Pelodiscus sinensis: one gene and its partner. The protein of the gene in region 1 interacts with the protein of each later gene in a pairwise test. Links are inferred from orthologs where the notes say so. Each region holds a gene or a part of one and is shown on either strand. Other genes may lie near its edges.

Region 1 (16,520 bases):
CACCACCTCCATTGTCGCTGGAGCTACTGTAAGCGGGGGCTTCTTCTTGGGGGTTGGGAGAAATGGCCTCATGATCGACTGGTCGAGCCCCCCGATCAACCAGTTGACTGCGATGGACGGGTTGGTAACCACGGCTATAGACTACACACATTTCCCTCTCAGTTAGTACATTTTTTAGCAGGCTGGCCAGCAGCCTGGCTCAGTCCCGGCTTGCGATGGGTTCAGAACCTACACCTGCTGCAGCTCTGCACTTAAAGTGTAGAAAGAGCTGGGAAGGCAGGCAAACCAGCTCAGTCCTAGCTCATGCGGAGTCTGGGAGCTCAGACTCCCCTTCCCACCCAAGACAGGGACTGCTGCCACCTTCTCAGAAGCAATAGTACAGGGCGACAGGCAGCTGGTTCGTGGGGGGAGCTGATTTTTAAACTGGCTCCCCTTGCAAACTAGCTCCCACCCGGCACCCCGCACTGCTGCCTCTGACAGAGAGCTGTCCGGACCCAACCTCAGGGACTATAGAATAATTGACTAACCGATAATTTCGGGAGGTTACTTGACTATTCAATTAACCGATATTTAACATCCCTAAAGCTAATTATCTTTTTGCAAGTTTGAGAATGGAAGAATTTGTTTGTAATTTGGTGACTATCAACCACAAAAGTCTGACCATGTAAATTTAAAATTTCTGTAGACCCTCTGGAAAAAACCTTGATTTTTACATTCCCGTTCCTGACTGAAAAGATCCTGAAGGAAGTTTTGCAAAGGCAGACATTTATATCTGTAATGAAAAATGCTTTATTTTTATTTATTTCAAATTGTAGATCTCCAGCAATCTTCTGATGACTTAACTTAAGGCCTTGAGGGTCTACAAGCCATTTTCATGCTATTGTTCTATAAATCAAATAAACTAATCTTTGACCTTCTGCAATAATTCATGTAGCTGAGCAGGAAAGAGAAGAAGAGAAAAGTGGGGTTTGCTACAAATTGACAATAGTCCAATATGTAGTAGTCTATCAAGATTAAAAAGATTATTTAAATGATTTGAACGTATGGCACAAAATACCTACTTTCACCTCAAACCTGGCCTATCAATTTTGAGGACAATATCAGTTTGTGGATTTTAAATAGAGTACCAAAATTCATCTTAAAAAGGAAAAACCAAGTTGTAATTCTAATTGGAATAATCGTTAACTACACATACAATGTACATATGGTTTAAGAATACCAATAATAGCAGAACAATTTATAAGTTGTTAAATAAAAAAAGATTAAAAGGAAAATATTTTTCAAAGTTAATGCTTGAATAATGACTACTGAATATTAAGAAGTGACCTTTGCTACAGACTATATTAGGATTACTATAGACTGATTGCCTTTCACTTGTATCATGAACTCTACATGAAAGATTATTAGACTATAAAAGTCATGAACAACTTTTAGAGCTTTTGGTTAAGGACAAAATACAATGCACCTTTTTTGTACTACTATTTTGTCCTTTGCCGTAACAAGGAGAAAGTCTGAAAAAGGAATGCTTTCTACAATATGGAAAGGAGTCTAATGGCTGGGAAAAGATGCTGTTTAATAAGTACCATTTCAAATATGTAGGTTCTTAGGAGTCAAGGCCAGAATGGACTTTTGATCATCTAGTCTGAATTCCTGCATAACACAGGCTATAAAACTTCCCCACCACAATTCCTATAGCATCTCTTTTTAAAAACATTGATTTAAAAATTGTCAATGATAGAGAATCCACCAAGATGCTGGGTAATTGGTTCCAATGGTTAATTACTGTCACTTAACAATGTGTGCCTTATTTCCATTCTGAATTTCAAGAGCCCCAGCTTCTAGCTATTGGATCCTGTTACACCTTTCTTTGCTAGACTGAGCAGCCCGTCAAATAATTGCTGTCCACGTAGATACTTACAGACTGTAATCAAATCTTTCCTTAACCTTCTCCTTGTCTCGTCAGACACAGCATTAAATAAACATACTATAATGTAATTCTATAATGCAGCTAAATATTCTCTAACAGAAATACAATTGCAAGGTGTAAAAGTCAAACCAAGTAAAAAAAGGGCTATTGTGAAGTTTTAAATAAAACCACCACTATAAGAATTTAAGCAAATGTTTTGTATCTGCCAAATAGAATCTTCAGCTAATTAGATTCTGTTGAAGAAAAAATATACTATTGTGACCTTATATGCTTAAACCTATTTCAAACAACTGACCCATTCATCTTAAACATCTTCTCTGTTGCACAAGATAGGTAAAACATTGCAGAAACAGGTAAAACATTGCAGAAACAGAAGTTCAGAAATAATTAAAAGAAAGCCCCTACAAACATGGCAAAACCTTGCTTCCTCAAAATTATTTCAAGATAAAGTCAGAGTGATGAAACCATTCCTACACCTTACAAAAATCCCAGCCACTTTATCAGTTCCTCAAAAACACAGACTAGGACCTACATTTTTACCAGCTCTGAAATTGGATCCTATTACAGTAGATACTAAAAGATCACTGTAAATGCTTTATCTGATATCAGATAAAGAATGATACTTGGTACCTGTTCCAAAACATCAACTATCTTGCCATTTCTCAAAGCTAGAAAAGTAGCATATATCTGAATCTTCTTTTACCAATCCTTTCACATAGCTGCAAGTGTGACAGTATCATTCAATACTGCAACAGTTCTCAGAACTGGCACAGTAGTATTATAGGCAGAAAGATGCAATTGCTTTTTTTGCACCTTAGATTTATTTGGGGGAAGAGAAGTTGTTTTAGATCTTTTTTTATTGTTCAGTTTTAGATTTCCTTTAATTTTGTTTAAAAAGTGTCATTACATGCCATTGGGGTTTTTTTTTAAACCATCCTTTTTATGTTTCACACACTAAAAGATACCAGTATAAGTAGCAGAAAGCATACTGAAAGCCAGCAATAGTGTTCTCAGCCTAGTGCAAGTAAAAAACAAAATGAAAACATGAAGCGACATTAAACTGAGTTATGTAAAGATTCTCAGATCTGAATAGTTAAAGTCATTAGTAACACAAGAGGGCTTTTTAAAAAATAATATTTTAATCTTGCCAATGTAAATTTAATATGAATTTACTGCAGTGTAAGGCATTAGACTGAAATATTTACAGTTAAAGCATTCTGACTGCAGTTACTTACGCTGATGTCTATGAAAGCAACCTGTAGTCTATGTTGTTGTGAACATCAGACAGTCTCCATGTTACCATTAGATGAGTGCCATAAATCAATGTGAACCTTAGAAGCCTAGAAAATCAAAGCTGAAACAAAATCCTTACCCAGCAAGGACTGAAAACAATACTGAATATAAAATACATTTTTTGATCTTGTGTGTTCTATACCCATGTTCCCTCTTCCACATTAAAAAGAAACCAGATATTATTTTTGGCCTCCAAACACTGTATCACATTGTATTGGCCTCCAAACACTGTATCATATTGTATAGAATGAGCTCAATTATTTTAATGGCAAAATTCTTCACCCGTGTTAAATTGTACACAAACTACTATATGCTATGTTAAGTATTAAGGTTTTTAATTAAAAATGCATGATTATCTCTGATTTATAAATCTAACTAATTGTCTCACTAATGGAAGGAAAACATAGCATATGCCCCTCTCAACAGCAAAGAAGAGTTGCTTCCAAATAAAGCAAGACTTAAAGATTTGTCTATAACTGATCATGTGAAGGATCACATGAGTACTTGCTAATTCTTCACGCTACTCAGAGTACAAATGGATGTGCACAAGGTTGTCAACAAATTCAAGACTTAACGTAGGACTCGCATGGTAACACAACCAATGGCATCCTAAAGGACACCACTGAATTTTATGTGAAAGGTGAAAAAGTTTAACAATGTATAGAAAATTCATAGTTCGGATTATTTTTTCTATGTAATACATGTTTCACTTTAGTGATAAAGAAGTCTATTACATTCATAAAAGTGTATCTATTCCTTCACTGTCCTTACATTCCTTTCCTCCAATATCCATCTTACATGCCTATTAACAGAACTTAAGCATGGGAAACACTACTTCACTGTTCTCTGGCTGTTTATTATCACAACCTTGATTTCAACCAGTTAATTAGTATGAGATTACAATACAACACATCCAAACAGTTTAAGCAACTAAGAATACTACTCTGTTCAGATAAGAATTGCTTATTTTATTTTACCTGTGTACTTTTTCATTAAAATTTTATTTACCTAGAGTTGAAAAGACGACAAACACAGCAAAGAGCACTTGTGTATGTTACTCTGAGATTTAATCTCCAAGCTAAACCGGGTTTCCAGATGAACATTTCAAAAATATAAGGATATAGGTCTAAGATTTGTTAAACCTCCAAAGCTGTGTAATACATGAACACTACCATTCTCCTTTTCAGAGAAAAAACATGTTTACAGGGAGCCTATATAAGATGGCAATGGTAGCAATATTTCATGTGTCTTCAATGCAAGCCAAGGCCAGGTATGCTATTTTGCAAGAGCTGAATTACTGTAGCAATCAGTAATAAGTCACAGGAATGTGCAGACATTTAGTTGCTGTTTAATTGGAACATGCTTAGCAAGATGCATATGCAGCAATACAAATCAATTTTACACTAGCCTTCCTCAGATTGCTCGAAAATGAATAAACTACACACATCTGAGATAGAACAAAGTAAGAAACTACAACTATAGCTCCCAACAGGTATATTTGAGATATTATTCAAGTGAAAATAATGCCAATAATACAAATAATGGAGTTATTTAAATAGTCTTTAAGAGCAATGATATCTGACCTCTACAAAAAAGAAATAAGTAGTCATAACTAGTTAGCATCCCTGACAGCATGACAATCCAACCTATTTTTTGTGACATTGCTGTGTCACTTTTAACACTATTAACCCACTTACATCACAAAAACATTGGTTTACAGACCACATGAATCAGAAAACTATTTAGAAAATTTAAATAATGTATTTGCACACAAAATAAGTCATTTTACAGTGTTGGCTATAACCACTAGACACATATATTATGCCTGTTATGCCCTTTTTACTACCCATAACTATGTATGAGTACTACAATTCACACACAATACTATCACCTGAAGAAATCTTGTGACAACACAACACATGATCAGAAAATGTTCTTCCTACTGGTATTAGTTTTGTCCAATTTCTTAACCATAGCTTTTTACCATCTGATCAGCATTAGTTAAGCCATTTTTTCTGCTATCCAACAAAAGCTTCTTTAAAGCTTTATAGCTGACAAGGTGTCTTATAAAGGCAATAGGTGCTGTTAAGACAATTGAGCCCTATAATAAACAATAAAATGAAAAGTGATCAAATATTTGTAGTTAAGAACAAAGAAATCTGATCTTAAGACTGACATGATTGTTTCCTCAGAGTTACACTGTCATTGGAGAAAGATGAGTATTTTAGCTCTAGTTTTCAAATCAAACAATTACTGACATTTAAGGTAAGTCATATTGCAAAACATTAAAAAAATAAAAGAACACTTTTTTTTTAAATCAAGAATATATTGTAACTAGTGATCCTTACACAAGGCTTCTAAAAACAGTGAGCAACAAAATGAAAACAGTTTCACTGCTGAAACACCTACAACCTCAATTTTCGAACAAGAAATATGCATAAAATTAGGAAGTTATAAGACTGCAAATATGGTGCATGTCCTTTTCATATCCATTTTGCAACCAAAACATCTATGCCCTGAAGATATGAAATGTGAGAAGACTGATAAAATGGGTTTCAATACTGGACTGTCACAGAAGAGGGGGAACTTCAGCTTCAATTTTCCATCAACGTCCCGATCAGACTGAGTCTCTGCATTTTTTCTAGTATAATTACCCAACACAGATCGATAAAAAAAAAGGTGGAGGACTCGAACTGTCAATTTCAATACATCCTACCCCACTGGTGAACCATCAGCGGTGCCACGTTAACAGCTATCCCAACTTGGGTGTGATGCACGCCTTCAACATCGGTTTAACAGCAGTTGCATAATAAGCCCCCAAAAGGCCAAATTCTTTTCCTGCGTCGTTGTTCCGAGCGGGCGGTGGGCAACGCAAGGGGCTCACACGGGAGCTGAGCATTACCTGAGTATCATCACCGGCATTGCCACTAGCGAGCTGGTTACTATGCAGCAAAGCACAAGCAGGCACCTGGCGCCCCAACGCGCAGATGCCCCCACGGAGAGGCGGTTCTACGGAGGAGCCTTTCCCTGCTCCACAGAGCCGGGCTGGGGAAAGCGGCGGCTGCTCTCGGCAGCCTGGCTGGGAGCCGGGGAGCGCGGCGGCCGGAGGAGAGAGACCGGGTCGCTGCTCCCCTCCGCGCCCATGCTCCGAGAGGCGGGCGCCGCCGTGAAGCCACTGCGGCCGCACGTAGCGGGGGGAGCGGGGGACACACGGGCACGGCGGCGGCGGCTCAGGTGGGCGCCGAGCGGAGCATCCCTCTCCCCGCGCGCAGGGGCCGGGCCGCTCGCTGCTGCTGCCGCCGCCCCCCGCCTCCGCGGAACTTACTTGCCGATCACCTCGCAGAGCTCGTACACGTCCTCGAACAGCACGTCGTCGTCGGCCATGGTCCAGGCGGGGGGGGACCCGCCGGAGAGGCGGCCCGGGGGAGGGGGGCCCGCGGGCACGATCCCCTCCGCGCTCCCCGTCGGGCACCACCTTCGATCCCAGCCTCCGCCGCCGCCGCCCGGGGGCTCCCGCGGCCACGCCGGGAATCCCCGCTCCTCCTGCGGGCCGCGGCCGCCCCGCGCGCCTCACGCTGGCTCCGGGCTCCCGCGGCCCCGCCCGCTTCAATCGCTCGCTCGCTCCCTCCCGCCCTTCGCCGGCCGCGGATCCGGCTAGCGGGGCGGAGCGGGCACCATGCAGGGGCCGGGTAGCGGAGGAGGCGGTGCGCGCGCGCGAGAGAGAGGGGGGGAGGGGAAGGGGAGGCAGGCGCGACCCCGAGCCGCACTCCGGGGCTAACGGCGGCGATAAAGCGCTTTACCGGCCGGCCGGCGGGCGCGCGCGCCACCACGGCCACTTCCCCAGCCCCGTCACGCAAGAGAGCAGGCGCGCGCGCGCGCGCCCCCCACCAAGCAAGCACGCGGGCACCTTCTTCCCTCCCTCGCCACAAACGCGCGCAGAGCCACGCCCACTATCCCCCCGGGAAAACTGGGACTGGGCGCTGTGCGCAGGCGCGCCGCGGTGCCACATGACGTCATGGGGAGGGGTCGAGCAGGGCGGAGGGGGTAGGCGGGTTCCCATGTGAAGCTCGGGGCGGGGCCATCCCCCTGCCTAGTTTCTGAGGCAGGAGGCGCGCGCTGTGTGGCTCATTGAGGAGCGGGGAGGGGGGAGTCGTAGGGCCGGGAGGCCGCGCCCAGAACCCGCCGTGGGACCAAGGCGCTTGTCGGCAGCAGCGGCCGCGTGCGCTCAGCGCCCGGGGATAGTAGAGCGGCGCGGGGAGCAGCTGCCGTAGGGTGTCTCCGCCCGACGCGGGGGTTTGACGGGCGCAGCTTGGCCGGGCGAGGAAGTAGCCAGCCAGCCAGCCAGACGGACCGTGCAGCAAGTGCTGGCGGCGTCCCGCGGGAACAGCCCGAAGGGAAGAGGAGAGAAGACCTTGCTAATCTCACTCTCAATGACTGCTGCCAGGTGGCAAGGAGGTTCACAGCGACGTGCAGTCGCTTTTAAGGTGGCAGCCCCGCCTCTCGCCTTTGCTTGTCAAATGCTTTGCTCGTAGTCCAGTGAAATGAACGTTTAAAGCGCCATTCGTTTCCCAGTCCACAAGTTGGTCAATATCGTTTCTAGTAACAATCATGCCAGCAGTTTCAGCAGGAATGTATAGAACCTCGTTCCCCTAAAACAGGGCACAGTGGAGCCCTTTTAGTTATAAAAGGGGAAAAGTCAACCTCTCCAACTCAGGTTTCATCCAAATATGAATGGTTGATAAGAATTGATCACTGATAAGAACTGATCATCTGAAGAAGTGGGCTGTGCCCACGAAAGCTCATCATACCATCTACATGTTTGTTAGTCTATAAAGTGCTACCAGACCATTTGCTTGCTGTTTTTCACTGATAGGGAGCCATAAACTGCACAGAACTGTGTCAGGCTGCATAACACTGATAGTATCAGAAATATATTCTGATGTAAAGAGAATGCTAGTGAGAATGTGACAAAGGTGTACATATTTACTTTCTCAGTCTCAGCGAAAAATACATTGTGGACCTATTCTGCATCTTAAAACAGTAAATGTCTGACATGGTCTGGTGCTTGTCAGGAGTTTCCCAGTCAGTTCCGGAGACATCAGCAATAAACCCATAATAAGAAGCCTAAGTAATTCCTAGACTGTATCAAATAACTCAGTCAACTGGGCTTGGAAGTATGAGATGTAGCATGGTAGTCTGTGGAGTATTACTACTCCATTTCTCAAATGCAAGTCAGAATCCTCTCAAGTCCAATACAAATGAGATGTCTGTATCACCACCTTAACACTCCTGTTCCATAGTGAACCAAATCAGCTAGTAATAGAAATGTAGCTGTGTTAGTCTGGGGTAGCTGAAGCAAAATGCAGGACTAGATAGCACTTTAAAGACTAACAAGATGGTTTATTAGATGATGAGCTTTCATGGGTCTGGCCCACAAAAGCTCATCATCTAATAAACCATCTTGTTAGTCTTTAAAGTGCTACCTAGTCCTGCATTTTGCTTCAAATCAGCTAGGACAGTCTTGCACGCTCTCACTCACACACACACACACACTCTTGCACGCGCGCGCTCTCTCTCTCTCTCTCTCACACACACACACACACACACACACACACACACACACACAAAAAATCCAGAGGTTGATTTGTGATTAAGCCATAGATGATGATGATTTTATAGAACAGCATGAACTAGGACGAACACCTACAGTCATGTTGCTCACATGCCTGGTCTCCCCATGTAGTGCAGCTAGCCCATGTTTGGACATTGCTGTTTGGTGTGATCTAATGCATTGAAAAATAAAGATTTTTGCTCTTCAAAAGCATCTGTAAAAGGCAGAGCTAAAAGACAATCTTGATAGGGACTGTTTGGCAGTATCAAAAGAGGAGGAGGAACTTCTGCATGTGAAGTGCCCCTATTTAATAGGGAACATTATTTTAAAGCTGTGTACTTGCCATTCCTTTTTGCCTTTCCCCCATGAACTATACCCATGTAAACAGTTTAGTCTAATATTTTAAATAGAGTTAAAAGCCAAGGTATGTTCTTATTTTTCCTGTCCCCAATTTTTATGTTGATCATTTTAGATTAAATTATACAAATTGAAGTAAATCTCTTCCATGCTCCATCAACTTAAGCATTTTTTTAAACCAGTGAAGTTACACAAAGTTATGGCTAATAAACAAGCTGAACTTTATTTTGACCATGTTTTTTACCATTATCTTAAACATGTCATCACTGAATTAAAATTATGTAGCAATATTGTAAAATAAGAATTTAAAATCAGGACACCTTCATAAAAGTTATACACTGATTTTGAAAGAACCTATGAAAATCACTCCATAGGGACTCGGACTCTGCTTTTCTTTCACACTTAACACTCCCATTGGAGTTTAGATGCATAAAAAAAAATGCCGGGCTTTTGGATGCATAAAAAATTTGCCAGAGCTCCTGCTCAAGAAGAGATCCTACAGAAAGTAATTTGGCTATTAGCATATAGACTGGCGGGATGCATATTTCCACCTTCTGTCATCATTTAAAGAAGGAGTTCTCAGTCCTAGATGAGATTTTGTTTAAGGCATCAAGATAGAAAAATATGCTTAAAAAGATACATTGAGGTCATTTGAGAATCAAAAAATCTACAAGGACGACCTGGGACATAACCAAGAAAGCTGTTAAGACTTGTCACATATGCCAAAAATATAGGTCAAGTCAAGCAAAAGAGCCCATGTTGGTAGCCCAGGAAAAACTGACACCCAGGAACAAAATAGGAATAGATTTGTTTATATTCACTGGAAAAAAATATGTTCTTGTTTTAGGCTTTTTTTCCTCACTTCCCTGAGATAAGATTACTAGAAGAAACTACAGTCAGTAAATCCCCTAGACTGGGAAGCAGATTTTTGCTAGACTCAGTATGCCTGACATGGTAATATTTAAAAAGTCTCAGGGAGGTAGTCTGGAACTTTAAAAACAATGAATAATCTTGTGTCACTTTAGAGACTAACAAAATATATATTATCATGAGTTTTTGTGGCAAAACCACACAAGGCGCCTCTGTTAATCTCTAAAATGACATAGGGCTACTTATGGTAATGTTTGACAACGGACCGCTCTTCCCTGTGTTCTTGCAGTATTATTTCCACTGCTTCAATATTTAAAGGTGATTGCATTTCCTGATGTAACATGGTTTTGTCCGAGGGGTCCCCTACAGGATGGGGAAGATCAGGATTTGGATGAAAAAACCCACCTCTGTGATTTCCAACATCTCATGGTCAATAGTGGCGATGTTCTAAATCCCACAGAACTGAAATAAATGATTCCCTAATCATTAGGGCCTAATGGAAGGGATATAACAGGAGACTCAGCAAAATTTGCATGCTGCTCTTGACCAATGTGTCAAATCTTCTACCTGCCACCTTGACGATGAGGCTGGCATGAAGACATGGTGTACAGACAAATTATTTCCTCCTTTGAGATTTCTGATGTTTTCTGTATGGTTCAGATGTATAATGACTTCCTCTATTGTGGTTGAAGCATAAAATGTTTCTGCTTTTGTGTAGACTACTGTGGACCACAATCTTGTCTGAGAGTGTAAAGCATCATCTGTCTTTACAATAAAAACTTCAGTTGTAACTTGTAGCCTCTGATAACTGGACCTGCGAGGTTTCTTTATGACGGTTGCCAGGGTTTTATAAACTTTCAGCAGCACCCAGGGCCACAAGAAGGGATATATCGGGGTCAGCAACCTTTCCAAAGTGGTGTGCCAAGGTTTAACCCTCCTGCCCTGGGCTGTGCCATGCTCCCGGGGCAGGGGTTGTCTACACTGTGCACCCTGTGGACCACCTTAGTCAATGCAAACCTTTCCTGGACTACCTGTTGCTAATGAAAACCCACCATTAATTACATAATTACACCCGAGCCATTTTGCTAGTGCTGCAGCTGTGGAGAAGAGTTTAATTTAAATTATTAAACAGATTAAGCATTTTAACTTTCTCATGTAAGTTTATCAAATTTCATTTAAAATAAAGTAGAATATTATGTCCAATACAAAAGGTTTCAATGTTTCTTTATTTATGGCAGGGTGGGGAACCTTTTCTGGGTTGGGGGCCCCTGACCCACAGGAAAATCAGTTGTGGACCACACAAGTGAGAAACAAAAAAACTCTTCCCCAACCCTCACTGATGTGGCCCCCAACTGACACACCTCACTCCTCTGGTGCTCCAGCCCCATAGGGTGAGGGGAAGGGGCAGGGAGGACTGAGGTTCAGGGTTTCCCAGAGGCAAGATTTACTTTTCTGGGGTTCCAGAGTTAGTGGATTTTGTGGGGCCCCTTATGCTCTGGGATGGGAACAAAAATGAGAGGTTCAGTGTGTGAAACAGGGCTGCCAGCAGATGGGTTAGGGATGCAGGATTTGGGTGGGAGGTGTGGTGCAGGACAAAGTGAGGATGTCAGGGTCTGGAAGGGAGTTTGGCTGCAGGAGAGCATGTGGGTGGAGGATACAAGAGGGAATTTGGAGGCAGGAGGGGGAGTAACGCAGAAAAGGTGAGAGGGTGAGAATGCAGCCAAATAGCTAGTTGGGGACAGAGGCAAAGAAGTGGGGCATAAAGGAAAGTGCAGCTTCTGCAAAGTACAATTGTATTCCCCCCTCACATCTTCCCTCTGCTCCAGCCTCGCACCCCTCAGCCCTCTGGTCCCGCCCACCCCCAGCTTGCTCCCCTGCATTGCTCTATGCCCCTAAGTGTAATTCCTGCCCCCTCCCATCCTGCCCCACATCTTCCTTCACCCTCCTCCTGCCCCCACATTGTTGTGCTCCCAGCACACTCATGAGCAGGCAAGCAACGCTGGAACTCACAGCCCCTGGGAGCAGCACTGGGGTGAGCAGAGCCCGGGGCTGCCCAGGGCTGGCTTCAGCCTAGCCAGGCACAACAGTGCACTGGGGAAGGGGCTCCCCAACCCCGCGTACAGTCCGCTGGGAGCAGCATGGCGCACCCTGGACCCAGCACGCCACATGTGACCAGCCAACCAGCAGAGCAGGCCCAGCCCCGCCTCTCCTGAAGCAAGAAGCCTGTAGTGCAGGAGGAGGGGTTAACCCCTTAGCTCTGAGGTGCTGCAAACCCAGGCCTGGCAGGGGCAGCCCCAAGGACATGCATGAACCTCCAGCAGGAGGCTGGAGCTGCAACATGAGCTCCCTGCTCCATGGGAGGAGGAGTGGAGCTAAGCTCCCACCCCGCGTGCTAATCAAAATCGTCTTATGGGCTGCTTGTGGCACGTGTGCCGAGGGCTGCCAACCCCTGCCGGATATATGAACCTCAAGCTGACCTTTGAAAATCAAGGTTTGAAGTGCCTCTGATATATTGAGTCTTTTGATGAGTTTACAGATGAAATCCCAATTTCAATTATATTTAACTAATAAGGATTACTAACTGATGACTAGACATAGAATTTTTCTCCCAGTCATATAAATCTAGCTCTTGAGCTCCCTGTCTTGAGGTGTAGCTTTCTGTTGATTATGTCTACACAGTACAACCAGTGACCCAATCATCTTTAAAAATTGCTCAGGGCCCTGGAAAAGCACTTTGTAGCAATGATCAGCTGTTTTTGCTGTTTGTGTCAAAGAACCACACATCTGCCAGAGTGACTTAGCTGGCTCTCCACCCCCTCATTGATGGGCACTGCAAGATATCCAAGCACAGAAGTGTGAAAGATGTCCAGAAGCTTATGCAGTTTTTCCTGATCCTTTTCTACTGGCATTGCCAGTGGATCTGCCTTCTAATACAGCAAGTCCAGAAAGTCTTGTTCTCATCTGAATTAAATTAGATCAACAGTTCTCAAACTGGCGTTAGACCTGCTGGGACCTTAGGTTGAAGCCAAACCCTGATGTGCGCCTCTCAGGAATACCAAGGGCTTCAGCCCTAGATGGGAGGACTCAGGTTACAGGCCTCTCCACTGAGGGCAAAAAGCCTTGGGCTTCATCTTTGGAACTCTGCCCAAAGTGGTAGGTTTGGATGGGCTCAGGCTCCAATCCCCGTTTTTTCTTGTCAGAAGGAGGCTGTGGTGCAATGAAGTTTGAGAAAGCCTGAGAGAGATAATATGGGTTCCACAGCATCACCAGGAGCTAAAGAAATAGGTCAGGATAATTTTCTGACTAGGTCTCCTCATCAACATTATGACAAGTCTATTCAGTGGGCAGTGGGGCAGAGTCTCTTACTATAATGCCTTTTTGTGAGCTATTAAAGAAATAAATCTAGCTCTGGATTAGGAAGCAGATGTTAGCTTTCTAGTTTGGCCTATGTAGGACTGGATGTGACCCACAGGTATTGCAAGCAACCTAATCATGCAATTCATTTAATACATGTATCAATGTATCATGAATTTTTATTTTTACTAAAACTATGTACAGGAAAGTGTGGAGTTTGACCATTTTTTGAAGTCACTCTTTCCATTTCAACATTTAAAAAAAAAGGTGGGTTCTCCTGTGCAAAATGACATTTTGTTTACAAATTTAAGATAATTATAGTTGTGAATAAATGGTTGAAATAAGTAATCATAACCAAAAATGAACTGTTTCAAGACCCAAATCAACATTTTTCCCCCTCAAATTTTTGGTTCATGAAAATTTAAGATAGACTAGTTGCCCCAGTTCAGGATGGGGACAGGGCCATCCTTACCTATATGAAGAATACAAAGTTGTCTCAGGAACCCAGAAATTTGAGGCATGGGATGTCTTAGGGCATGTCTAGACTACAAGCCTCTTTCGAAAGAGGCTTTTTCAAAAGAGCTTTTTTGAAAAGGCCTCTTTCGAAAGAGATCGTCTAGACACCCACAAGACTTTCGAAAAAGCGAGCTGCTTTTTTGAAAGAGAGCACCCAGGCTATCTGGACGCTCTCTTTCGAAAAAGCCCTGTTTGTGTTCAAGAATGCTTTTTTTTGAAAGGGCTCTTTCGAAAAAAGGAGTTCTTTCTCATAAAATGAGGTTTACCGCAGTCGAAAAAACTGCTGCGTTCTTTTGATTTAATTTCGAAAGAACACGACAGCAGTCTAGACACAGGTAACGTTTTTTTTGAAAAAAGGCTACTTTTTTTCAAAACTCTGTAGTCTAGACATATATCCACCCATCTGCCTCTTCCTATTCCTGTTCTGTGGCTGTTAGAGTCTGATGAGTCTTCTTCCAGAGATGAACTAGTTAACTTAAAAGCGAAATAGCCTTCTAGCAAGTTTATTAGCAGAACATTCAAGTGGTAATGAAGCCAATTAACAGGTATATACTGTCAGTTTTTAAATGTACTGTTAGTCTACAGGACCTTAATTTCACATTTGTTTTAACATATTAGTGTGTTGCTGGCTATTATAAAATCATATTTTTAAAAATTGTTCCTCTCCTCCTGGGCTATCATTGGGTATAGGAGCATGACTTTAACAGTACAGGCAGTCCCCGACTTACGCGGATCCAACTTATGTCGGATCCGCACTTACGAACGGGGCTTTCTCGCCCCAGAGGTCGGGGTGAGAAAGCCCCGTTCGTAAGCTGCTCCGGTGCCCCTGGTCTGCTGGAGACCGTCTCCAGCAGACCAGGGGCACCGGGCGGGTTCCCGCGCTTCTGAGGCTTTGCCAGAGCAAAGCCTCAGAGGCGCGGGGAACCGCCGCTGCTGCCGCTTCAGTCTGGGTGCCTGTGGTCTGCTGGGGACGGTCCCCAGCAGACCACAGGCACCCAGACTGAAGCGGCAGACTGAAGGCACCCAGACTGAAGCGGCAGCAGCGGCGGTTCCCCGCGCCTCTGAGGCTTTGCTCTGGCAAAGCCTCAGAGGCGCGGGAACCCCCCGCGGCTGCGGGTTCAGTCCGGGAGCCTGTGGTCTGCTGGGGACCGTCCCCAGCAGACCACAGGCACCCAGACTGAAGCCGCAGCCGCGGCGGGGTCCCTCGCCTCTGAGGCTTTGCCAGAGCAAAGCCTCAGAGGCGCAGCACCCCGCTGCGGCTCTGCTCCCCGTGTCCCTGGTCTGCGGGGGGGGGGGGGGCGCAGCTAGTGTGCTCCCCCCCCTCCCAGCAGACCAGGCTTTTGTTTTGGACTCTGGGGCAGAGCAGCTGGGGCGCTGCCGATTGGTCCTGCAGCGCCCGCTCTGGGCACTACTGGACCAACCCGGCAGCACCCCAGCTGCTCTGCCCCAGGTGTCCCCAAGTCAGCTTCTGCTGAAACTGACCAGCGCTGACTACAGGAAGCCCCAGGCAGAGTTGCTCTGCCCCGGGCTTCCTGGAATCAGCTGCTGATCAGTTTCAGCAGCAGCTGACTTGGGGACGCCTGGGGTTCTTAAGTTGATTCTGTATGTAAGTCAGAACTGGCGGTCAGTTTCAGCAGTGTCTGAATCTGGACGCCAGTTCCGACTTACATACAGATTCAACTTAAGAACAAACCTACAGTCCCTATCTTGTACGTAACCCGGGGACTGCCTGTATTGTGTAGGGTCTCATAAATCCTAAATATGGCCCTGGATGGGGAAGGCTTCAATAAGGTGAACATTTTCATGGGATAGAAAAAGCATTTCCCACCTATCTCTACCCTACACTCTGAATATTTAGACCCCAAATAAAAAAATATCAGAGTTGAAGAAAGAGAAGACATACTGCTCTTGAAAAAAAGTAGTAGTTCCATCTGGGGTATTGGGAGAAACAACAGACTGTGCTCTGATTGGTATCACTGATGTGCTTGGTACTAATGGAGGAACAGCAGTTACCAGACATAACTTCACTACTGTGAACAGCTGGGAGTCCACTACTGAAGAAACTATGGACTAGGTCCTTTGAAGTCATGTAGGATTTTGGCATCAAGTAAGTCAAATGTTTAGATGGCATTAATACTGGGGCAGTCTCTACCACTTAGCTCTAGTACAGGGCTTTTGGTTCCAGGGAATTTGTGTGATACAGCGGAAACTGGGTTAGATTCACAGTGACTGGTACCTGAATGGTTGCCAGAAGGACCCATCTTGGGTCTTAAGCTATTATTTTTTGCTAAGGCTAAGTCTACACTGGCACTTTACAGTGCTGTAACTTTCTGGCTCAGGGGTCTGAAAAAAAAATCTCTGCACCCGAGTACAGCACTGTAAAGCACCAGTGTGCACTACGCTACAGTGCTAGGAGCTGTCCTCGTTGGCTACTGACCTCATAGACGTAGTTTACATAGAGCACTTGGAAATCCCTCTCCCAGCGCTTGTGCCATGGCCACACTTTGGCTATGTCTACACTCGCAGCTTCTTGCACAAGAACATTTTGCGTAAGGATTCTTGTGCAAGACATCTTACGCAAGAAAACGTCCA
Region 2 (16,075 bases), on another chromosome or scaffold:
CTTCCTGGAATCAGCCGCTGGTCAGTTTCAGCAGCAGCTGACTTGGGGACGCCTGGGGTAGAGCAGCTGGGGTGCTGCCAGGTTGGTCCCCGCAGCGCCGAGGTGTGACGCTGCGGGGACCAACCAGGCAGCGCCCCAGCTGCTCTGTCCCAGGCGTCCAGATTCAGTCGCTGCTGAAACTGACCAGCAGTGAGAAAAGCCTGGTCTGCTGGGGGGGGGGGGGGGCACTAGCCTCGCCCTCCCCCCCCCCCCCCCCCCCCAGCAGACCAGGCTTTTCTCACCGCAGAGGACGGGGGCGGCGGGACCGCGGCACATCTCGGCGGTTCCACTGCCCGCGTCCTCCACGGTGAGAAAAGCTGCTCCGCGTCTCCCTGGTCTTAAGAACGGGGTAAGGGAACCCCAACTAGCTGTGGCCCCCTCCCCCCAGCAGACTGCCAATATGCACCACGGTGGTCCCGCCGCCTGCGTCCTCCGCGGCGAGAAAAGCCGCTCCGTGTCTCCCTGGTCTGCTGGGGGGGGATCCGACATAAGTCGGATCCACATAACCCGGGGACTGCCTGTATTCAAGATGGATTTATATATAGGCAATATGATATTTTCTGCGTATTATCTATCCCTTTTTTAAAGAGTCCTAACATTGTTTCCTTTTTTTGACTGCTGCTGCACACTGAGTGGATGTTTTCAGAGAACTATCCACAATGACTCCAAGATCTCTCTTGAGTGGTTATAACTAAATTAGTCCCTATCATTCTGTTTATATCAGTGTTTCTTAAACTTTTTAAGACCGAGGAACCCCAAATAAATTTTTATATGAGGAACACCAAGGATTTTTGGTTGAGCAAAACAACACAAAAAAAATCTGGGGAAAAGGGTCAAGGGGAAGTTGAGGGGGGGAAAAAAAGTCGCCTACCCCTGTAAAGGCAGCCATTTTGAATTCTTTTGTTCTCTGCGGCACACTGGTGTGCCACGTAACACAGTTTAAGAAACACTGGGATATATAGTTGGGATTTTTTTTTCCAATGTGCATTACCTTACATTTATCAACATTACATTTCATTTGCCATTTTGATGCCCAATCACCTAGTTTTGTAAGATGCTTTAAGCTCTCCAGTCTGCTTTGGTCTTAACTATATTGAGCAGTTTAGTATCATCTGCAACTTTTGCCACCTCACTGTTTATCCCTTTCTCCAGTTCACTTATAAATAGTTAAATAAGATTGGTCCCAGTATGGACCCTTTGGGAACACCACTAGTTACCTCTCTCCATTCTGAAAACTAACCATTTATTCCTACCCTTTGTTTCCTGTCTTTTTTAACCTGTTATCAATCCACGAGCAGACCTTCCCTCTTATCCAATTACCGTAATTTAGCTAATATAACCCACAGGTTTTATTCGTTTTTACAACCCCGCCTCCCCCCTGCTGCAGGGTATACTCGGATGTGGGGTACAGGCAGTCCCTGGGTTACGTACAAGATAGGGACTGTAGGTTTGTTCTTAAGTTGAATTTGTACTTAAGTCGGAACTGGCATCCAGATTCAGTCGCTGCTGAAACTGACCAGCGGCTGACTACAGGAAGCCCGAGGCAGAGTTTCTCTGCCCCGGGCTTCCTGGAATCAGCCGCTGATCAGTTTCAACAGCAGCTGAATCTGGATGCCTGGGACGGAGCAGCTGGGGCGCTGCCGGGTAGGTCCCCGCAGCATGTTCTGTTTAGCTCTGGTTGAGTTTATGGAATAATAGTCAGAGGTAATGCCGCGGTGGGGGAGAGGGATTTTTAGCGTGACACACATGCCCTCCCCTGAACCATTGTGCATGCCACCAGAAACTTTAAAATGTGTCCCCCTACTATGAACAGTTAAGTGTAATCTCTGATGATAAATTTAACACACACAGAGCAATCTGCAGGTTTTGCAGTCAGATCTACAGCAGTGTTTGATTAGTTTAGTTTTTTTATTGACCTAGCTTCTAAAATGTAAAGCAGCTAAAATACTGAATGTGATATTCTGGCCCCACTGAAGTCAAGGAAGAGTTCTATCATTGACTTCATTGAAGACAGGATTTCACTTGGCTGTGTCTACACTGGTGCACCCTTGCGCAAAAGCGGCTGCTCTTGTGCAAAAACCTGCTGCCTGTCTACACTGGCCGCGTGTTCTTGAGCAAGTAAAGTGACGTTCTAATGTATGAAATCAGGGCTTCTTATGCCAGAACTCTGATGTTCCTGCTCAGGAATAAGCCCTTTTGAGCAACTGTTCTTGCGCAAGAGGCCAGTGTAGACAGGCACCATGAATTTCTTGCACAAGAAAGCCCTATGGTTAAAATGGCCATCAGAGCTTTCTTGAGCAAGAGAGCATCTACACTGGCATGGATGCTCTTGTGCAAAAGCACATCTTGCGGAAAAGCACATGCCAATGTAGATGCTCTTTTCTGGAAGAGTTTTTGCAGAAGAACTCTTCCGCAAAAGAGTTTTTGCGTGAGAACGCGCCAGTGTAGATGTAGCGTTTATGTATGGAATTGTATAAAAACACGTGCTATTATATATCCTTCCAGAATATGAAGAACACTTATTTATTAACGTGTACACATTTCTGAGTAGTATTGAGAGCTACAGGGTTTTTAGAAATTCAGAGTCAAAACTACATGTATCTTGAAGGAAGGAAAACTTGGGGGCTTAAATAGGCTGTCAGTGTCCATTAACTCACTGTTTTCTCAAATAGTTGAAATCTTCTCTGAAGTGTTCGTGTTTTAGTGATTCCTCTAACCTACATTAATATTTATTTATTTTCAGGACCCCAAACGTCATTTAGAAGAACATGTGGATGTGCTGATGACCTCAAATATTGTTCAGTGTTTAGCAGCTATGTTGGATACAGTTGTATTTAAATAATAAATTTACTGTTAGTGTGGTGCTTTCTGTGTATATTCTTCTATTGTTTCTAACACGTGGAAACTAGAGACTGCTGAAGGTATATTTGGTTAAATGGAAGACATCTGGCATCATTTGCAGTCTAAGAGCAGCACTATAACACCTTTCAGTCTCTGTTGTGCAATTACTTCTGTTTCTTTGTCAGGGTCTTTGCAGATTCCAAAGCAGTTCAAGAACAGAGAGTGGGCAAAATGTATTACGTTTTCATTTAATATTTGGGGGAAAATCAGTAGTACATATATATTTTGATTGTTGCTACATAATAAAAATACATTTACAGTCTATCTGGTTTACGATTTTTTTTGTCAATATTGTACACAGAATGGACAACCATTGTAGAGTACTCATGCAGGTAAAGCTGATTTGCTTTGCATTTTTAAATTTAAAGTGAAACATTGAGCTAAGAAAACAACAAATGAAATATGACTTCCATTAATCACTGAGGTATTCTAGAAAAACATACATTTTTCATGTCAAAGTTCAAACACTATTGCCATATAGATGTCAGAACTCCATTCAAAGCAAATGCTTATGAAAATGACAAGCTGATGCACTGATGCTCATCACACCTCCAGCCTCCTTAACTTAGGCAAGTCCATCTCCAAATAGCTGATAGCAAACAACCTGAGAATATTTTCTGAAAGGATTGCATTGCTTGAAGAGTAGAATACAGAGGAAAAACTCTCCTTGCAAATAGTGATGAAATATGAGATCAATTTCTATTGAGTGTCACAATAGTGAGGTCAGAGTCTCTCCTCCTCCCACTTCAATCTGAGTAAAGATGGGAGCACTCACTCAAAGATGTGTGAGTTTCCTAGTTAATAAAGCCAAGCTGGTGGCTTTCAGTAAGACACAGCTGCAAAAGCTTCTCAGTTCTTTAGCATAATAATGTATCCCTCTTACATCTTTGTTCGCACATGGTATTCTTTTTAACTAGTGAAATCATGTTTTAAGAAATGTAAATGAAAATTCATAGGTTCAGGCAGATGATGCCGTTTAAGTCCTGTTAAATGCAGATCTTAAATACAAAGCTTCAGAAGTGATTCATGTGACTTCTTGTATCAAAGAAATAACCCCATAAGGTTCTGCCTCACTGTGCCACTTTCTTTATGCAGTAAATATTCTATACAGGGCAAGAAGTACTTGTGGTAATCAGCTTGTTCCATTATCATCCAGACTTTTTTGATTAGGCAACTCTTATATTTAGGTCTTTAACTTAAAATTATTTGCATAGAGGACTACCATTCAAGGCAACTAGAATTTTCTACCATAATTCTTGCTACAAAGAACCATGGATTGGTGTATAAAGTTGAGAGGGTATGTGGGAATGAAGATCTATCTTGCAGTGGGAAAATGAGGATAGCTGAAAGGGAACAGACATGATGAGTGTCGCATGTCCGCTGTAGCCTGTATTTGTCCCTAGCATCCTGCTTTGTAACACCCAACAGGTGGAACTGAATCTGGGGACTCTGGAGCTTAGTGCAGGAACCTCTCAAGCTTGTAATCAGCTTGACTCAATTTTTCTTTTACAAACTCCCAAAAGGCATCTGTCATTTTCTAGTTTTTACTTTTCCTGCAATTTAGGAGCTTCATGGGAAAGGGAATGTGTGGCAGTTTGGGGGAGCTGGTGCGCATGGTGATAAGGGACCAAAGTATTATCTTGGAGGGAGTAAGGGAAGATTTTGAGGTAGCCTCTTAAACCCCAGCAGAGCACAGCTTCATTAGGAGCTGAGCTAGATGGGTAGTTTGATTCTCTCTCACATGCATTCACGTCCCCTACTGCCTCCCAAAGACAGTTCCTCAGCACCTGCCACTGCATATCTGCACTGATTATCCCAATTTAGGAACTATGTGGGTTAACAAAGTGAAATGTTACCATTTCTGAATGATTCCCAATTTGCAACAAAATGAAATGCAGTTGCCATGTAAAATGATGTACTCTACTGAATAAATTAGCTTCAATGTGCTAAATTGTACAACCCTTCCCACTGTTTCATCTAGTCTTTATCCCATCTCCTGATCTTCCAGTAATACAATTTCATAGTGGAGCACATGGTACTAGTAAAACAAGTAAGCACCAGAAACTATTAGGGTGTTAAATACTGGTTAATTGAATAGTCTAGTAACCTCATGAGTTCTTATCGGTTAGTTGACTATTGTATAGTCCCTGGGAGTGGGGCTGGCTCCTAATATGCTTTAAATGCAGAGCCATAGTGAGCATAGGTCCTGGACCCATTGCCAGCCAGGACTGAGCTGGGCTGCTGGCCAGCCTGCTAAAAAATTTACTGGGTGGGCAGGGCGGAGGGGTGGGAGGAAATGCATGTAGTCTATAGCATTAACCTATAAGCTTTTGCTCATCAGTTAATTGACTACACCTTTACATCCCTAGCAACTACAGCTGGTTGGCATGAAATATTGCTTCTCACAGAATTAGATCTATATTATGCTAACAATGAGTCTGTATGGCAGATACCTAAATTCTATTGGTTTAGTAATACATGAGTAAGTCATGAATGACTTCATTAGAAGTATTTACTTAAAGATATGATATGACAGCTTCCATTCTAAAACATGGTTTTATTGAATAAACTAGATCCCAATAGACTACCTCAACTGTCTCTGCTCACAATTTTGTACTTAAGTTAGGGAACCAAAAATTGAAACTCATTACTGAATGCTTCATTTCTATCTGTCTACTAACTAATGTAGCTGTTGGCTTGGTTTCTCTAGTGTTAAAAACTCTTGATACATGATGACTGTCGTATATTTTTTCCTGGGGGGGGGGGGGAGGGAGAGAGAGAAATACCTAAATACTTCCCCCACCCCACTCTTCCTCTTTTACTGTCTTCCTCTGCCTAAACTTACCTGGTGCTTCTAATTTCAGCTTCCCTCCCCTCTCTCTGATGTTACTATTAAATATACTCTTGTGAAGTGTGGGGAAAGAGATTCACCAATAGTGGTAGACCTGGAAAACAGCAATCATGTGGCTTGAGACAAAATGCAAGATGCTGAAGCTGATTATATAAAGAACTATTAAGTTCACAGAAAAAACACTTGTTGCTTCTCCAGCCTATTTGCAACAATATTATGTATGCTTTCAGATGAAAAGATTTTCAAGTTGGTGCCCTTTTAAAAGGAAATATTAAAATAGATCTTTAAAGAATCTTTATTAGATTCATATAGTCCAAAGCCAGAAGACACCACTGTGCTCATCTAGTCTGGCCTCCTTCATGGGTATAGAATTTCCACCAAATAATTTGTAGAGTATATTTCAGGAAAACATTTGGTCTAGATTTAAAGATTCACTTTTCACTTTACAAAGTAAAACAGATTTGCTGAATACCCATAAGTTCCTCCGAGAGGAATTATGAGATCACCTTTTTCTGGTTTAAAAGTACACCTTTTGTGGTCTAGGTGCAAAAACTATTCCCCAGTACTTTGTCTAAGGGCCTCTTGGTTCCAATCCCAATATAAATTTAATTCATTTTCATGAAGATTCAGCTCAGTTTCAAATGGAGGAAAGCAATGCAGGCTTGCATTGTGATCTAGTCTGCAGTGTGTATCCATGAAAAACCACACTCAGAATAAAGATCTTGGTGTAAACATCACCAACTTGAGCTTCAATCACTCCTGGGCTACAAGAAGCTCTGTCAAGCTTAGTGGTGTGATTACCTTAAGCTAGAAGTTCTGCAGTCAGGTTAGCACCACATACCCAGAAGACTAAGGCTTAGTGCTTGGGAGAAGAAATCTCCCTCCCTGCTTGTCTCTCTCCTAGGGTGATAAGATGTCCTAAAATTATTGGGACCATTCCTTATATTAAAGGCTTTGTCTTCTATATGTAACTATATACCTCTTGTCCATCTCTCCCTCCACCCACACCAAAAAAAGTTTCCTGACATTTCACACCTGCTATCTGATCACCTACCTGCTCCCTGTGGGAATATTCCATCTTAGAGGTACCTCTTAGAGCGTAAATGGATGGCAGAAGACAAATTGCTTGATCATGGTCTCCTGTTATCTTCATGGGGGGGAGGGGACAAACAAGGCCCCTGCCCAACATTGCAGTGCAGCCTGTGGCTGACACCTGAGCTGCAAACACCTGGGTTTGCTGAGCTTATCCCCGCCAACAAACCACATCTAGTTAAACAGGAAAGCGGAGACCAACTATACAAGCAACAGACACCCCCTTGCTTCTCTGTAGTTATTGCCTCCTGAGTGCATGGCCTGGACAGAGCAGCTGGCTCAATCCCACCAACTGGGGTGGGCTGTGGCCCAGCATCCCTCTCCACCCCTCCCCCAGGGGTTCCTGCTAGAGACATCTGGTGGGGAAACCAAGCCCATAGTTCCTACCAGGAGCCATGTGACATGCCAGTGATGGCCCCCTCATTCCCTCTCTGCCCCCTGCCTCTATAACACCAACAGGTGGAACTGAATCTGGGGGCCCTGGAGCTTAGTGCAGGAACCACTACAGCTTGAGCTAAAAGCCAGCTGGCTCTCAGCTACAGCCCTGGGACAAACTCCCTTTCTCTCTGTATGTGGTGTAAGTGCCATTACATGGGACAGTGACTCACATCCAGTAGGTGTGTGGGTCACACCTCTGCTTGTGCGTCTTCACACACCAGCCCACAACTGTGGAGTCTGTGGGGATACACAACGGGTATCTGTGTCCACCTCTGCATAAAGGGGGCTGTGCTGGCTGGCTCTCAATGGACATCTGCACATTTGCATGGTTCTAGATCCAAAACTTGTGTCTCCATCCACATCCCTGTCCACAGAAAGGAGCCCTGGAGCGTTGCAGCCACTCCCCAGATAGAAGGTGCGTGTCCCTGGATCTGCAGAGCGCTAGCAGGAGAGCCCCGCTCTGCCACCAGAGGAGGGAAGCGGCTTAAGCGAGCTCGGGGCAATGGGGCCTCCCTATTCGCCGGGCCGAGCGGCGCTGTTCCAGCTGCGGAAGCCGCGGCCCTGCAGCGCTCTCCGCCGGATAGGTGGAGTGGCCCGGGCCTGGGCCACCGCGCGCCTCTCCCAGTAGGTGTCAGCCTCGTGTAATAACAGCGGGGTCTGGGACGCAGCCCCTCGCGCCGCCCTGAATCGACAGGAGCCCTCGCGACACTGCAATGTGCTTCTGTGAATCGAGCGCAGCGCTTGTGACAAATCTCTCACAAAGGAGCCCTCGCTCCAGTCCCCGCGCCCTGCCTTGCCGAGCGTCTCCCGCACGCCAGCCCGCCGATCAAATATGCAGTGACCGGAGAAGCAGTACACATGCCTGCAAATGCATTAGGGCTCTTCAGCTGTGCGGCTTATCATTATTTCACAACTTAAAGGAGACGATGCATTGCCGCTGTGTACATATGCTGCCTGAATGGAGTTTCAGGGGCGTTTTGTTTTTCCAGCGCAGCAGTTCCCTTTGGAGGGAGGGAGTTACATGGAGAGGGTGGGGGAGGGGGACTATCTTTATGAAGGATTTCGGCCCGTTATTGGGCACTGCATATTAGACGGGGAAGCCACATTCTGGAACTTCCAAGGTGAAATCAGGCCTCCAGTTTGTACGATGAAATCGTTACATTCAGAGCGAATGCTGACACCTGGGCTCATTCTGACCCCTAAACTCCCCAGCATCTCCTCTCTTCCCTTCTTCACAAAAAGGAAAAAAATTAGGAAATCGTAGGTCCTTGGGTTTTTTTTTCTATCCTTAGTCAGAAAGCTCGAAAGGTCACACGGTAATGAGCACTCACAGCAAACACACTGTCTCCCCCCACCATTCCCTTCTATCCCACAATAAAATCATCTCCTTCAATTTGCCATGATCGTCGCGACCAGGAGCCAGGTGATTATCCTAATTAATGTCTATCTAATTAAATTACTGTCAGCGGTTAACCAATGGCAGGAGCCGTTTCATCCGCTCCACAAGCAGCAAGATCAAAAGTGAGTCTTTCCTTATTGCTGCATAGTGTCAATTGGCCAATCTCTTCTCCCAGGGAAAAAAAAAAGTAAATCAAACGTTGGGGAAGCGTTTGGTGGGAGAAATGCTTTCTGCCTCGGGAGGGTCCCAGGATGTCTAGTTTATGTTAAGAGGAGCCCTTTAGAACCAGAGACTGAAGGGTTATTGTATTGGTGCTAGAGCTATGCAGCTGGAGCATTGTCTTTCTCCCTCTATCATGCTCTCCAAGAAATTTCTCAATGTGAGCAGCAGTTATCCACATGCAGGCGGATCTGAGCTTGCCTTGCATGATCATCCCATTATCTCGACCACTGACAACCTGGAGAGAAGTTCACCTCTGAAAAAAATTACCAGGGGGATGACGAATCAGTCAGATACAGACAATTTTCCTGACTCCAAGGACACACCAGGGGACGTCCAGAGAAATAAACTCTCTCCCGTCTTGGACGGGGTCTCGGAGCTTCGTCACAGTTTCGATGGATCTGCTGCAGATCGCTATCTGCTCTCTCAGTCCAGCCAGCCCCAGTCCGCTGCCGCTGCTCCCAGTACCATGTTCCCTTACCCCAGCCAGCATGGACCCGCTCACCCAGCCTTTTCCATCGCCAGTCCAAGCCGCTACATGGCTCACCATCCTGTGATCACCAATGGAGCTTACAACAGCCTCCTGTCCAACTCTTCTCCACAAGGTTACCCTACGGCAGGCTACCCTTACCCCCAGCAGTACGGCCATTCCTACCAAGGGGCGCCTTTCTACCAGTTCTCCTCCACCCAGCCGGGGCTGGTGCCCGGCAAAGCTCAGGTCTACCTGTGCAACAGGCCACTCTGGCTGAAATTTCACCGGCACCAGACAGAGATGATCATCACCAAACAAGGGAGGTAAGCGGCACACGCTGCTGCGGCTGCCCGGAGCGCTTGGACTCGGGTGGTGGGGCTGGGACTCCGAACTCTACCCTGCGGAGACTTTTGAGGGGGGCGACCTGCGCTAGATATTCGGGGTGACTGACGATCGAGCCCCCCAAGCCCATCGTGAAAATGGGGAGCTGGACGGGGTAGGTCACAGGGGGCGCCTGCTAGGATGGCTCGTGATGTGCTTGCACAAGGTGTCTGGAGATGGGGTGCAGGTGCCCACCTGGCCAGCAGTCCCTGCAGGGAAAGCCCCCAAAGCGGCTCCCGTCTCCTTTTGTCCTCATCCCTTTTTCAGGCAGCCCTTATGTTCTCTTATGTGACTTGTGGTTCTCGGCTTAACGCGGTGCTGGTGGGGTTTGTGTGTGTTTTCTTTTCACAGGCGCATGTTCCCTTTCCTAAGTTTTAATATTTCTGGTCTGGATCCCACGGCTCATTACAATATTTTTGTGGATGTAATTCTGGCCGATCCCAACCACTGGAGATTTCAAGGAGGCAAATGGGTTCCTTGCGGCAAGGCGGACACCAATGTACAAGGCAAGTTATTCCAATTAACACTTTTCCCGACACATATTTAGGTGAGAATGGTTAATTAAAGCCTTTGTGGACTGGCTCGGGCGACTTCTTAAACGAGAATGGGCCAACGATGCTTAAAAAAATAAGAAGAGGGAGGGGGAGTGAAGGGTGTTCAGAAAATGCTATTTTAATCCTCCCCGGTTAAAACGAAGGGAGCATCGCCGGTAAAGCGCTGCTAAGTTTAATGCGAATCATGGAAACCTTGTGCGTGCTGCTACAGTTGCAGGAAGCCGGGTGTGTGTAATAATCGTGGCGCATTTATTTGTTTCTTTAGGAAACCGAGTGTACATGCACCCCGATTCCCCCAACACTGGAGCCCACTGGATGCGTCAGGAAATCTCTTTTGGGAAATTAAAACTTACAAACAATAAAGGAGCCTCAAACAACAACGGGCAGGTCAGTGAAACTCACACACGCTCTTTATTTGTTGCTTCCAATAAAACCCTGAAAATTCAAATCAGACCCTTAAGTTAAATCAGACTGCTGGTGTGAAACATACTAGTTTCTGTTCCTTAGAATTGTACATGATTTCCGAGGAAGAAAACAAAATCCTGCAACAAAACCCAGACCAGGCTCAGGAGTGGGGTTTATGTATATGGGAGGTGAGGGCATGAATACAGGCGTTCTGAAGTGAGGTGAATCTGTAGCTATGCTGCTAAAAAGGGACTAGGTGAGGTCTTAGGGGATGCATTTTGCCTTCGTTGTTGAGTCAGTGCAACCTCTCTGACAGCTCGGCCACGGCTTGTTATTCAAACGCTTTCCCAAGGAAAAATACCGGGAAATATCCGCCTTTTTCTCCCTCTCCTCGCTCCAGTGTAGCTTCTGAGCCCCTTTGTCCCCCTCCCTTTCTATGCCTGACAGATGGTGGTCTTGCAGTCCTTACACAAGTACCAGCCCCGTTTGCATGTGGTGGAGGTGAACGAAGACGGGACGGAGGATACTAACCAGCCGGGCCGAGTGCAGACTTTCACCTTCCCGGAGACTCAGTTCATAGCTGTCACCGCCTACCAGAACACCGATGTAAAGAGCTTGGCGCTGTATTTCACTCGCGGCCATCCTCACCCACAACCGGCCAGCAGCGCTTTGCTCTGTGCAGGTGCCCGCAAAACGAGAGGCAGCTAGACGCCGTGCAGAGAGCTGGCCGGCATATGATTGAATCAGGCCGGTTCCTTTTTGTCCCCCGGCAGAATCCATGTGGCCAGGACCTAGATGTGTACCCCTGAAGTTGTAATTCTGTACCTTTGGCTAAAACTGTCAAGAATTGTGAGCCCCAATCGGAGCACGAGCAAACGTGTGGCTCACATTGCTGTATCTTTTCACTGAACCTGGCTAGTCTCACGAATACGCACAAGTCTGGCGTGAGGACTACAGAGTGAATATTTCATAGGGGCGCAATAGCCATCAGTTTCCACTGTGAACATCTTAGGAAGCCGAGCGGAAACCGGGTCGGCATGTATTATATTAACACTAGAGTGTATTTGCCAATAGTTGTTTTCATTGAAAAGCGCACATTTAATTTGATGGGATTTTTAGCAAGTTTGTAAAGAGCCACTGATGCTGCTGACTGTGTTGGGGGTGATGGAACGTTTTAATCTGAATAAAATCCTGTTAATGTGTAGTCAGATATTTTTCTCTCTCTCTTTAAATGGCATGCATTAAAAGTCGTTGTGTTCTGTTTTTGAATAAGACAAGTGTAGATACAATAATCTCTTAAATATAATATAAACAACTTAAAATATTCATTATTTCTTATCCTACATTTAAACTTTAATTGAGAACAATTACATTTAAAAACAGACTGAATCAAAATTATTTCACCTTTTTGTCAGTAACTGGAAGATCGATCATATTAACCAAAACCTTTATGAATAGGCTAAGCTTAATTTTTATATTTTGAAGAGCGGCAATTGAAGTAACTAATGAAAAAAGATTGACCAGTCCCACTTTAAAAATGTGCCTGAAGTACTTTGTCAATTGTCATGCTTTCATCATTTATTGGTGCGAAAAAAATAGTAATTGATCCTCTGTTTTCTTTCCCAGATTACACAATTGAAAATAGATCACAACCCTTTTGCAAAAGGCTTTCGAGACAATTATGATACGTAAGTAAATTGTATTTTATTATCCATCTTATCGGATGCGCCCACGTAGAGTGGTAGAGACTCTATTTGGTTTAGTATTTGGGGTTGGATTAAAAATCTCCCTAATTATTTAAACATTGAAATATTAGGTATTAAGCTTTAAAAAGTTCTCCCAGATAAGAGAAAGCAAACGCAGGCTTCTAAAGTCGGGACTGGATTTCGGTAACTTACTAAAAATGAAATTCATTTTTGTCGCTAGAATTTTTCTTGAAAAACTTTCGAATTAATTTGAACGCATGTGTTACTAAGAGGCAAAGCTGGAAGAGGCTGGCTAGCACATTCAATACAGCCTTGTGCATTCTGGGGCCAGATGCTCTTCTCACCCCCTCTGCCTGCATCTGAGGCTACGTGTGACTTTGGCAGTTGTGATGTTCTTTCTGGCATATGACTTTGTGCCCGTTCTCGAGTTCCCGTTTATTCAGGCTGTGTATGTAGGCTAGGAAATAAGGACCACTTATGGGAGCTAAATTACTGAATATAACCGACTCTTGAAATCATTCAGGATCCTATACCGAAAGTTTTAAAGAAAAATTCTTCTATTTCTCACTATCTCGCTTTTCTTTTGGTTTTTATTTTGCTACTCCTATATATCGATAGTTATATATAATGGGAAATGTTTTCGTAGAAAGAAAAAAAATCCATAGGATATGTTATTAATGTATCCAAAATCATCCTAAACATATCGGACATGCATATTGGTCTAATCTTTGAGCGAATGATGGGATGTTTTGTAACTTGTCACTTGACTTTAGGGGTTTGCCCCCTCCTGCTCCTTTTCGGGAATTTAATAGAACATCCCAAAATATTGTACTCTGCTCAATGGTCCCTGTTAGGAAGGTTTGGAATAGATAGACTATTTAAGAGTACCCCCGCTGAAGTGCTACTTCTGAGTACTTCCCTCTACCTCCCAACACAGTGGAGTGAAAGCAAAAGCAAAAATGAGGCTAATGCCATCCCACACTCCCCTCCCATTATTGTGACTATAGAGCAATAAAATCAACAAACTGCTCTAGCACTTGCGTCTATAAGTGAGAAACATCCAGAGAGTGAGTGGGAAGGGCCCGTAACCCAATGCTACTCGAAGACCTGGTGGGAGATGGGGAACTCAAACATCTCGGGAAAGCGCACGGGTTTTGCGCCCCTGATTTTGCCTGAGCGCCTATTAAATGGGAACAGAGTGGGATGACCACCTGCCAGGGTTGGGCTCTCTGTTTAGGGGATTTTTTTCTTTTTTTCTTTCTGAGTAAGAGAAGCGTATTTGTGTTTTAAGGAGATGGAAACAGCCCCCACAGATAAAGCCATCTCCGGATCCCAATGGAGTTTGTAAATTTGCCGTCTAGTAAGGCCCACACTGAAAAATGCACTACAATATGTGCTTAATTTTAAGCAGTTGCTTAAGTCCATCCCTATTCAGCAAACCAGTTAAACCCCATTAAAATAACGAGATGTATACACATACATAAAACTAGGCAAGTGCTTAAATGCTTTTCTTAACCCGGGCCTAAAACTGGGATCAAGCCCCAGAGCGATCGCTTTGCTTAAATGTAAAGTAGCTGATTGTTGCTCAGATTTATTCTTATTTGGGAAATATAATTGTAGCTCATTCACACCCTTTTCCCCAAATGTAAGGCAATGTGCAACAAGTGACCGGAGGGAAAACACCGGGGTTCTGGTGATTTGGATAAGAGCCTCAAAGGAGAAGTAACCTCACTATCTGAGCATACAAAATAGGTCATTGATGCAATGCAGAAGAGAGGACGTGGTCTGTGTAATTTAAATAAGATTTTTCTACATATAGGATAGGCCATAGATGAAAACCCGTCTGGACTTCTCCAACCACAAAATGTCTCTGCTTTCTTTTCTTTTACATTATAAATTTCACATGTATGTCACTTTAAAAAGAGCTTAAATGCTGTCTAGCACATGGCATTTGTTTAAGGGCCAACTGTGTTCTGGGTAAGTAATTTCAGGAGGCGTGGAGGGTTAATTAAAGCACAGTTTTAGCCTGAATGAAATGCACACACTAACTGTTCATCCATTAGGCTATATTGGGAAAAAAATGGGCGCATCTGCTTTTAAAATTCCTTAAGTAGGTGTTTGAAGATTAGCTGAATTTAAATTCAGTAAAATCCTGTTAGTTGGTTTATGACTTGAACAGAAATGTCAAACCGCAGAGATAAATTTTCAGTCTGCCATTCATGCTGTTTTGCTAGAAATGGACAAGGTTACCTGTTGCGCATATTATGGGACTGGTCAATTTTCAACAATGTAGGATTTCCCAAGGTCCCAGAAAAGGTGGCAACATCCACGAAGGTGGGATGTTAGCTGACCTGTAGATATTAAATGAATACAAACAAGAAACGTCAGTCTTGAAGTCACGACCCTACTAAATATAAACGTGAGAGCAAACTCGTTTTCAGTTTGTGTTGGCCTATTTTTTTAAGACACATGTAAAATGTGAGATCCGCTTTGCGAATGGCAGGTGTAAAATCACCTGATTTTGTAACTCTTCTGTCCTCAAATAGCCTCCCCAGTATTCAGTATCACGAGGAGCCAGAAGTGGAGGGATGTCCACCTGGTCAATTGGTTTCTTTACATCCCTGACCGGCCCCGCTTCTGCCCCGGTGTTTCTGGGCATTGCATTTTAGGGGTGTCTCTAAGGGTGACCCGGGTCGCCGCCGCTCCGTCCCGAGCCGTTCTTCCCCTGCCTTGGCTTCTTGAGCCAGGGAGCAAGCGCCGGGAGAGCCCTGGTCCCGCTGAAGTCAATGACAAAAGTCCCGTTGGCTCCAGCGGACCCAGGGACACCCAGACCTCTGCCCTTCTCTTTGGCAGGATCTACACGGGCTGCGACATGGACCGGCTCACGCCTTCCCCCAATGACTCCCCCCGCTCGCAGATCGTGCCCGGGGCCCGCTACGCCATGGCCGGCTCCTTCCTGCAGGACCAGTTCGTGAGTAACTACGCTAAGTCCCGCTTCCACCCCGGTGCTGGCGCTGGCCCGGGGCCGGGCAGCGACCGCAGCGTGCCCCACACCAACGGGCTGCTCTCTCCCCAGCAAGCCGAGGACCCCGGGGCCCCGTCCCCGCAGCGCTGGTTTGTCACCCCGGCCAACAACCGCTTAGATTTCGCCGCCTCCGCTTACGACACGGCCACTGACTTTGCTGGCAATGCCGCCACCCTGCTGTCCTACGCAGCGGCCGGGGTCAAGGCGCTGCCCCTGCAGGCGGCTGGGTGCACGGGGCGGCCGCTGGGCTACTACACCGACCCCTCGGGATGGGGCGCGCGTAGCCCCCCGCAGTACTGCAGCAAATCCAGCTCCATGCTCTCCTGCTGGCCCAACAGCGCAGCGGCGGCCCGGATGGCCACCAGCAACCCGTACCTAGGGGAGGAGGCGGATAGCCTGGTCACCGAGAGATCCCCCTTGCCGGGCGCTGAGGACTCCAAGCCCAAAGACTTGTCTGACTCCAGCTGGATCGAGACCCCCTCGTCCATTAAATCCATCGACTCCACTGATTCTGGGATTTACGAGCAGGCCAAGAGGAGGCGGATCTCGCCCTCGGACACCCCGGTGTCGGAGAGCTCCTCTCCCCTCAAGAG

What was found.
Region 2: the proteins of CASK (region 1) and TBR1 interact in a two-hybrid assay, tested with the Homo sapiens proteins (2 studies listed by BioGRID and IntAct). The link is inferred for Pelodiscus sinensis from reciprocal best matches to the Homo sapiens genes CASK and TBR1.

What each region holds. Positions count from the first base shown.
Region 1 is NC_134711.1:194,348,806-194,365,325, reverse strand, and holds the start of CASK (peripheral plasma membrane protein CASK), read right to left. Parts: upstream 7,162-16,520; 5' UTR 6,605-7,161; coding exon 6,546-6,604; intron 6,158-6,545; exon of another isoform or gene 6,143-6,157; coding exon of another isoform or gene 6,123-6,142; intron 1-6,122. UniProt on the Homo sapiens protein: Multidomain scaffolding Mg(2+)-independent protein kinase that catalyzes the phosphotransfer from ATP to proteins such as NRXN1, and plays a role in synaptic transmembrane protein anchoring and ion channel trafficking.
Region 2 is NC_134717.1:34,220,429-34,236,503, forward strand, and holds the start of TBR1 (T-box brain protein 1), read left to right. Parts: upstream 1-8,801; 5' UTR 8,802-9,042; coding exon 9,043-9,734; intron 9,735-10,143; coding exon 10,144-10,298; intron 10,299-10,611; coding exon 10,612-10,733; intron 10,734-11,198; coding exon 11,199-11,357; intron 11,358-12,377; coding exon 12,378-12,439; intron 12,440-15,310; coding exon 15,311-16,075. Other genes in the region: PSMD14 (26S proteasome non-ATPase regulatory subunit 14), read left to right, coding at 2,783-2,881. UniProt on the Homo sapiens protein: Transcriptional repressor involved in multiple aspects of cortical development, including neuronal migration, laminar and areal identity, and axonal projection.